2 linked regions of the Mus musculus genome follow. The protein of the gene in region 2 purifies or fractionates together with the protein of the main gene of each other region. This does not show direct contact. Links are inferred from orthologs where the notes say so. Each region holds a gene or a part of one and is shown on either strand. Other genes may lie near its edges. The genes, in order: Parva and Rsu1.

Region 1 (4,408 bases), on a different chromosome or scaffold from region 2:
TGCTTCCGATTTCTGCCTCCAGACTCCTGCCTTGACTTCCCTCCGTGATGGACTGCTACCTTACAGGTAAAATAAACCCTCTCCTCTCTAGGTTGCTTCCGGTTCTGGGATTTATCAGAACAATAGGAAGGAAGTTAAGACACACATTCTCATCACCAACATGCATGTCACTCATCAACACGTGCCTCTGGCTGAGAACAGACACTGCTGCCTAGCTGGGCACTAGATCACAACCTAGTGCCCAACTGCTGGACCGATTTCTCCAGCTCAGTTCAAAATCTTGCTCCCTCTGAGTCAGAGGTTCAGTCAGATTCCATCAGTGTGTGTAGTGTACATGTGGAAAGCCCTCCTCAGAGCAAGACAGCCACCATCTTCATCTAAGCAGATGTGAGAACTTGCGACCTCCCTTCCCACTCGACTCCTGACCTAGAGACCGACCCTGTTTATTGATGTTCCCTTATAGAAGGATGGAGCAGGGACAGTCACTGAATTTTCATCTCAATTCTGGCCACTCCCTCTTGTAACCCTACTAGGTCATTCTGTCCTAATTCCACGTGGTCACTGGAGGTGTTAGAGTAGTAGTCTGTTGAAGATTAGCTGAAGGGGATTCCATTTAGACAGTTAGGGGAAGTCATCCGCCCTGGGGTAGAAATTTGCAGTAGTGCAGCTGCTTTGGGGCCCGCCCACATTCCTGTAGGTGACTCCTTCCCCAGGCTCTGTAAGTCTGATAAACTCATTGGATCCCAAGCTTGATTTCAGGGAAAAGGTAATTTGGTGGTGGTGCTCTGGGAAGGAGACATAGATATTTGTTTATGCCCCATCACGGAAAGAGCTGTGGAAACAGTTATGTAACTCTTCCCGCTGGTGTATGACCAAGGTATCCTGAAAGAATGGGAAAGAGATGGTCAAGCCACAACTTAGGACGAAGAAGCACAGTAAAAGTACGCAGGACTCCTAAACATCTCCAGCATGAATCTTTAAAACTGCCTGGTGTGACTCCAGCGTCAGGTCAAGAGAGTCTGGAACTAATTCTATTGCTCTTGGCTAGATAGATGAGCGTCTGCCGTCGTGGACTTCCAGCTTTGTTTGAGTGTGGACAGGAGAAGGTGGAAGTCCGCAGATTCATGCAGAAGTTGAACGGGAAGTCTGTTGGGACCAGAGCCCATTTTAGATCCTTGACTTCTTTGTGAGACAAAAGTACTAACAGTATAGGAACCCATCCATGCAGGAGGTAGAGCAAGAGACCGCAGCAGCTGGGAAATAGGGTCACAGGGCTGATTCCCTGCGGATTCTGACGCGTGTGTGTGTGTGTGTGTGTGTGTGTGTGTGTGTGTGTGTGTGTATGCAAAGCAGAGAAGTGAAGGCTTCCAAGCTCCAGATAAGACCTCACGTCCCCCTAGCATGCACTTGCCCCTGCGTCTATAGCCCCCAGCAAGCGGCAAGCCAGGGCATCCTCGTAGCCAGGGCAGCCCTGGGCACGGGGGCCCCAGGCGCAGCAGCTCCTCGCAGGGCGGAGGGCGGCGCGAGGGAGGGAGCGAGGGACGGGAAAGGCGAGCGAGCTGCCTCAAATGCCTGGAATAATTCCGCTTCCGTTTGGAAAGCCGCAGCCTCAGTCCCGCCGCCGCCCGCCGCGGCCGCCCAGCTCCAGCTCCGCGTCCAGCCGCCATGGCCACATCCCCACAGAAGTCGCCCTTGGTCCCCAAATCACCCACTCCCAAGTCGCCTCCGTCCCGCAAGAAGGATGACTCGTTCTTGGGGAAACTCGGAGGGACGCTGGCCCGGAGGAAGAAAGCCAAAGAAGGTAGGAACAGCCGAGGCCGTGGGCGCTGCAGGGATCGGGAGCCTGGAAGTGGGAGACCCCCCTGGCAGTGCCTGGGCGCGCCTCTCAGTGTCCCCATGTCGCCTCCAAAGCCCTAACCGGGTCGGTGTCATCTCTGGTCCACAGGCGGAGCCCAGGCTTTGGGTGGCTGTTGTCCCAGAGCCCAGGCCCAGCCGGTCCCCTGTGCTCTCCCCTAGGCCGCTGTCCCCGCCCTCTGCGCGCCCGAGGACTGGCATTTGCCAAGTTTCTGCTGGAAAGTTTTCTCGGGCGCCGTCATTCCCCGCTCTCAGCCTTCATTGGTCTGTTGCGCCGTCGTTTCCTGGGCGCCTTCAGGTCTTTTGCTGCAGCTGCAATGGCCTCCTTGGATCTCTCGCGGGCTCCCTGGACTTGTGTGGACTTTGATGATCTGTATAAAATGTTAGTTGACTGACTGAGAGAAGAACGTGCCGAAGTTGGGGGGGGGGGGATTGAGGAATGGTGAGATAAACTCACTACACCTAAGGACTGTGACCCTGCTGTGAACCTGGACATTCCATTCCAAGTTTTATTTAAAGAAAAAGAAAAGATTTCTTTTTCCCACCACAGTGAATTGCAGCAATCTCATTTTTTGTTTCCAGAATAGTTTCTGTGGAAAGTACTTTTTCCCCCGTAGGCAGAATTTACAACTCACATTTGGGCGTAGGAAATGCAGTGATGATTCTAAAAATCAATGTGGCGATAGGTGTGTGAATAAAAAGGGGTTTAAAATGTTTTCCTCTTTGGCATGGCTGGGATTGGATTTAGAGGGCCTTAGGTCTACTGCGTGAGCACCGCGGTCTTATTCTTTCTCTTTTGAGACTCTTTAGCCTTGTGCTTAGTCTTGTGTAGCCCAGGCAGAACTTTGTGGTCCTCCTGCCTCGGCTTCCAAAGTATTTGGGATTACAGGCCTGCCCAGCTTGGTGTTAATTGATTGTTCTTTTCTGTGGTACTGGGGGTTGATCTTAGGGACTCTGATGTTAAGCAAGTGTTTTACCGACACGGTGTTTCTAGCCCAAGTCTCCAGATCATTTCAGGAGTTTACTTTAGTAGGTCTGAGGTGATGAACTAGGAAATGTCTCATGTTCTTAGTCTCCTGAAGTATGGAAAGCACTTTGGTGTTTAATTAGCAAACTCAGTGCATGAGCTAAGTGTCTGTTGTCTAGATTGTGGCATGAATCTAAAAATCACCTCACCCCCAAGTGGTTGTTGTACCTAGTCCCCCCTTATTTCTAACAGAATGACTCCAGGATGCTCATCGAATGGCCAATACTATGAGCTCTTCTGAGCCTGATATAGTGTGCTTTTCCCTGGACATGTATATGGTAAAGTTTAACCTGTATGTTAGGCACAGTAAGAGGTTAACATGGCTGAGATGGCTAAGTGGGTAAAGGCACGTGCCACTCCAGACTGGGGATTTAGATCCTATGTAAGGTAGAAGAAAAGAGCTGACTCCACAAAGTTGACCTCTGACCTGTGCCAGAATACCCACATACATGCATCATGCACACACAATAATGGTAATAATAACAACAGATAGTACTTAGTATTACAGGCATTGCAGTGCTGAGACAGTCAGGCTGATACTTGAGCCAATAACAAAGATGGCTACTAAGTTACCAAGGCTGCGTATACAATGTGTATCCATAGGATTCCTATCCCAGGAATGAAGGAAGGTTTGGAGTGAAGCAAAATCTCATCATGCTAATCAGAATGGTGTGCAACTTAGGAATTATTTCTGAAATTTTTTTCATTCAGTATTTTGCAACCACAGTTGGCCATAGGTCTCTGATACCACAGACGCAAAAATAGTGGGCAGGTGTGCTGGTAAACCATTAATTGTTGTAGTGTGGGCAAATGATCATGAGATCCTAGCTTGGAAGTCCTTTTTCTAGCTTGTGTTTCTGGTATGGGCTCATCCATCTGACAGATGGCAGTTTAGAATTACTGAAGCTCATAACTGGCCTGCAGTGCCCATCCCACTGCTAGCACCTTTGAGAAACGTTTTTATTGGTCCAAAGTTTACCAGTGTGTGTCCACTACTTTCTTGGAGTCTGATGTGACGTTGACCTGTTATTAGACGCGTTCTCACGACCGGCCAGGAAAGACGCAACAAACCAGAATCTTCTGCGGCAAAACTTTATTGCTTACATCTTCAGGAGCAGGAGTGTAAGAAGCAAGAGAGAGAGAAAACGAAACCCGTCCCTCTTTTAGGAGAGTTATATTTCGCCTAGGACGTGTCACTCCCTGATTGGCTGCAGCCCATCGGCCGAGTTGACGTCACGGGGAAGGCAGAGCACATGGAGTGGAGAACCACCCTCGGCATATGCGCAGATTATTTGTTTACCACTTAGAACACAGCTGTCAGCGCCATCTTGTAACGGCGAATGTGGGCGCGGCTCCCAACATCTCCCCCTTTCCTTTTAATAAGAGCAAATAGGCCACCCATATTAATGAGAGTGGAGATAGAGGTCAAATCCCCAGTGTGTAGGTAAAGGAGCCATGTACAGGATTAGCTCTTAGGCTCACAGGCTTTTACCCAGAGCAACCCTGACCTGCTCCCGTGTCGTTTTG
Region 2 (4,416 bases):
ATGGCGTTTTGTTACACCAGCCCTAAATGATGCTTTAAACTTATATAGTAAAACTATCTCCATCAGAAACAGCCAGAGAAAAACTATCAGTAACCTTTCAAAAAGCACTAATAAATATTGATGCTTTGGGCTTAGAGGGCTCACAGAAACTGAAACTGCATCCACAGCTTGTATGAGACTGTGCTAGATCAGTGCTCTCAGCAAATGTCTAGCTTAAGAAGTGATGAGGCAAGCCGGGCGTGGTGGCACATGCCTTTAATCCCAGCACTTGGGAGGCAGAAGCAGGCGGATTTCTGAGTTCGAGGCCAGCCTGGTCTACAGAGTGAGTTCCAGGACAGCCAGGACTATACAGAGAAACCCTGTCTCGAAAAACCAAAAAAAAAAAAAAAAAAAAAAGTGATGAGGCCTGGACAATGCAAGTTGCCTGCATTGCAAGTATCATCGTTTCATCTGAAGTGTGTTTAAGGAGAAATTTCTGCTTTCAAATTCAAAGTGCCGAATCTTTTTCTAGTACCTGCTTGGCTCATTGCTTATATATGTGTGTCTAAACTTCTGCACGTCTGTCTGACTGCTTATCTGTCATGTACCTAATGCCAGAGGAATAATTCTGGAATGATTTCCTATTTAATAGTGTGAAATTGTCACTAAGATTAAGTTTTTTACTGGGTCATCAAGATCTAGTCATTAGGAGGTAGAACCCAGAGGGTCAGCAGAAAGTTTATCTATCTATCTATCTATCTATCTATCTATCTATCTATCCATCCATTCTATTTGAAGAAAGTGGGAGAGTTCTAAGAGCCAAGATTTCACGGTTCATGGGTGTAAACACCAACTCAGACTTCTGACATAGTCGTGGTTTACTGTTAGCATCTAACCCTAAGGGAGATAGATTCCAGTTCCCAAGACCAAAAGGAACGGAGCAAAACAGTTAGATACAGAAACCTGTGAGTTACCAGCTGAGGACATAAGTTTCGGGCGGAATCTTTGTCTTCAGAATCTTTACCATAATCCAGACCTCATACCTCCACCAGGTCTGCGACAGCCAGGGGCACACGAGGGACTCACGGTAACAACTCTCCGTGGGAGGGGACCGGCAACGAAAGACGCAGGACAAAAGAGAGTACCTGACTTGTGGATTTCTCAGGACGGAACTCCAAATCCCTCAACACAAGCTGCATTCTAAGAGTCTACCTCGGTACCAGCGACCAGCTTAGAATCCCCTGCTTCCGCCCACAGAACTTTGTCCTTCAGCTAGCTTACTGAGCATGCGCAGAATCTAGATCACATGCACTTGCTGAGTCCAATTCAAGTTCCAAACTCAAGAAGATGGGCGTTCCTCAGCGTAGGGCGGAGTCTCTGAGACTAAAACGTGTACGATTGGTCCGCCTCGGGGTCCACTTTCTTCAGTGGGCAGAGCCTCGCCTGGAGCCACAGCTGGGAAACAGTTCTCCTAATTTGGGAAGTGTCAGGCCGGGAGGGGCGTGGGGTTGGCCGGATTTTGTGTGCGCCTGCGCGATCGCTGGGACAGGGTGTGTTCCTGCTGCGGGATCCTGTTTTCGGCTGATCCAGTTCATCGCTCTCCACCCGAGTTTCCCTTGCAGGTCCCTAATCACACCCACCAGGTGTTGCTCGCTGCGGTGAGTGTGCGGGGTCCAAGTCCTCCATTAAGGACTCCATGGTGATACCCATTCTCCCCTAGGCAGCCCTGGAGAATTCAGCCTGGGCCTCTGCTCCTTTCCTGCCTTAACCTGCCCCACAACCCCCAGGCTCCCATTTTTGCCATCATCCACGTGCTTTGTTGTCCTTTGCTACAGAACATGTCCAAGTCACTGAAGAAGCTGGTGGAGGAGAGCAGGGAGAAGAACCAGCCGGAAGTGGACATGAGTGACAGGGGTATCTCCAGTATGTTGGATGTCAACGGCTTGTGTAAGTTCTCTTGGACAGTTGCTAAGTTTGTAAGTAACTGCTCTCTTGGGAGGCGAGTTTCGGAAGCCTGCCATTCCACCTTTGCTCGTCACTTGGTCACTTGTCAGGAGCTTGCAAACCACAGTTAGTTCTGCTGGGACTGGTGAACCAGATGAGAACGTCACACGAGGTGTGCTGCAGTTCCTTCTCAGCGGGTGAGGGAGCTTCATAGCTTTGAAGTCCATCTTCCATGTAGTGTCCCAAGTAGCCATTTTTGTTTGTAATTTGGAAGTCACGTTTTACTCTATGAATCATGAGCTGGTGGTACTCAAAAATTACATGCATAGTAAGAATTCTTGTGCCAGTAGTATTTTCAACATTTTCCTTCATTACGTATTCCTGGGTCATTCTCCCATTTGTGTTCAGGCATTGCTCAATCTTGTGATCCAAGCTCAGCACCCGTTTAATCAGGGTGTTGCTTTCAGCTGTGAACTTATATGACTCTTACTTTATTGTTTTTTTCTCATCTGTAAAACCAGACAGGGAACTCAGTACAAGTGGGAATGGTCATAAACTCCATTGCCTGTGCCCTTCTCATGGGCATCTCCTCTTCTCCACATGGAGACGGTTATCCCCATGTGTAAATGCTGCATCACTATCGCCAGATTTTGTGTTGAGAATTCTAGTGTCCACTTTTTCATGATCTTTAAATTCTGCAAACTAATTCTGGTCTTTGAAAACACTTTTTAAGTAAGTCACCACGCTTCTGTAGGTTCCTGTGACTTCATTTGGATCCTCTGAGAGCTTAACTGTTGAGAGTGGTACCCCCACATTCCTCAGCGGGACATACAAGGTCTGATTCTGATCATAAACCGATCCCTTCCATGCATTCATTCCAAGCGATGTTGAATAAGCTCCACTGAGTGACCCTGAGCAGCCAGATCTTCCTGACTTGCAAGTCTGTTGTCTCCTTATCTATATGCCTTTCCACCTGACGTCCCTTAACTTAACTGCCAAGAGTCAGCTCAGACATCATAGCCTATGAAAAACGTTCTCTTTCTATCTTCCTGTGTGAACCCACCTTTCTACAAGGCACAGATTGCATAGCCTTTAATTAATTAATTTTTTAAAAAAGATTTATTTATTTCATATGTGAGTACACGGTTGCTCTCCTCAGAGACACCACAAGAGGGCTTCCATTACAGATGGTTGTGAGCCACCATGTGGTTGCTGGGAATTGAACTCAGGACTTCTGGAAGACCAGCCAGTGATCCTAACCGCTGAGCCATTTCTCCAGTCCAATTAATTTATTTTTAATCCAGTAGACTCTCTTCCTCATTCGAATACCAAGAGAATATGCAATGCCATGCTTGTGTTCTTGAGAATAGTGTCTGGAACACAGTCGGCACTCTAAATGTTGATAGGAGTCAGAGTAGGATGTTAGAACATCAACCAGAGGGGAGCTGTACAGAGACCTTAAAGTCAGTGGATAGCTTCCTAGGCATGAAGACTCTTGTCTGTTCTTGGAGTACAGGCTGGGATGGATGTTGACACATTAAGGCCAAAGTGGACTGCAGACATCTAGCTATCATGAAGAGTCCTGCTTTGACATACCCTTAGCATCTTGATAACTTCTTGGTTTGGGTGACATGTGTTGGTCTCTTGCAGTAAGAATGGGTTTGTGGTGATTTTTGACACTGAAGTGTCTGCCGAGGATCTAGACACTCCCATTGCTTTGGCTTTATTTCGGTTTCCACTGCTGTAAAGGAAGAAGAGGCTAAACAGAGAGCAGGGGACCAGGTGCATCTGCGCCCTGAACAGCACCTAGTTCTCTGCCTGCTGCATGCCTCCCTATGGGCTGAAGCCTGAGCCCACAGTGGTCTGAGCCATTTGTATCATTCTGGAAGATGAAGACCCATGTAATATTAACAAATGACAAGAGTAGCTCTGCTATTTCAGTTCAGCTCCATTATCTCTTTGAAGCCTTGGCTCTTACTACAGGGGAAAAGATAGCCACTTGCTTCCTGAAGGGGAAAAAAAACTGCTTCTGGTCTAATACTGGGGGATAAAAAGCAAGGTCATTTCTGTAGTTGCTCAAACCAGAAACCAAGAGACAACATTGGTATTTCTTGGAAAGATCAGCGGAAGTTTAAAAATCTCACTCCCTCTGCTGGTGTTGGCTTAAGGAAGGGCTGGGTGTATTGAGTCCTTGCTGTCAGGACTCCTAAGAACCTGGAAGACTGTAGAGTGTTCACTGGAAGCCTGACCCTAAACTGGCTTTATCAGCCACTCACTGGATTGGAGCTCAGTGGTGGAGCGTTTGTGTAGAACATGTGCAGTTCTGGGGTTCATCTCAAACACAACACAAATAAATTTAAAACAGCAATCAGTTGGCATCCAATGTGGGTGCTATATGATAAAATTACCTCGAGTATTGTGTAAGAATTCTCTTCTTCTCTTCTCTTCTCTTCTCTTCTCTTCTCTTCTCTTCTCTTTTGCTTAGGTTTATCT

The links.
Region 1: the proteins of Rsu1 (region 2) and Parva purify together in Homo sapiens (affinity purification with mass spectrometry; 3 studies listed by BioGRID and IntAct, counting the BioPlex papers as one, with this or other methods). This does not show direct contact. The link is inferred for Mus musculus from reciprocal best matches to the Homo sapiens genes RSU1 and PARVA.

The regions. Positions count from the first base shown.
Region 1 is NC_000073.6:112,426,300-112,430,707, forward strand, and holds the start of Parva (alpha-parvin), read left to right. Parts: upstream 1-1,406; 5' UTR 1,407-1,665; coding exon 1,666-1,801; intron 1,802-4,408. UniProt on the Homo sapiens protein: Plays a role in sarcomere organization and in smooth muscle cell contraction. Required for normal development of the embryonic cardiovascular system, and for normal septation of the heart outflow tract.
Region 2 is NC_000068.7:13,268,421-13,272,836, reverse strand, and holds the start of Rsu1 (ras suppressor protein 1), read left to right. Parts: upstream 1-1,421; 5' UTR 1,422-1,637; intron 1,638-1,814; 5' UTR 1,815-1,817; coding exon 1,818-1,926; intron 1,927-4,416. UniProt on the Homo sapiens protein: Potentially plays a role in the Ras signal transduction pathway. Capable of suppressing v-Ras transformation in vitro.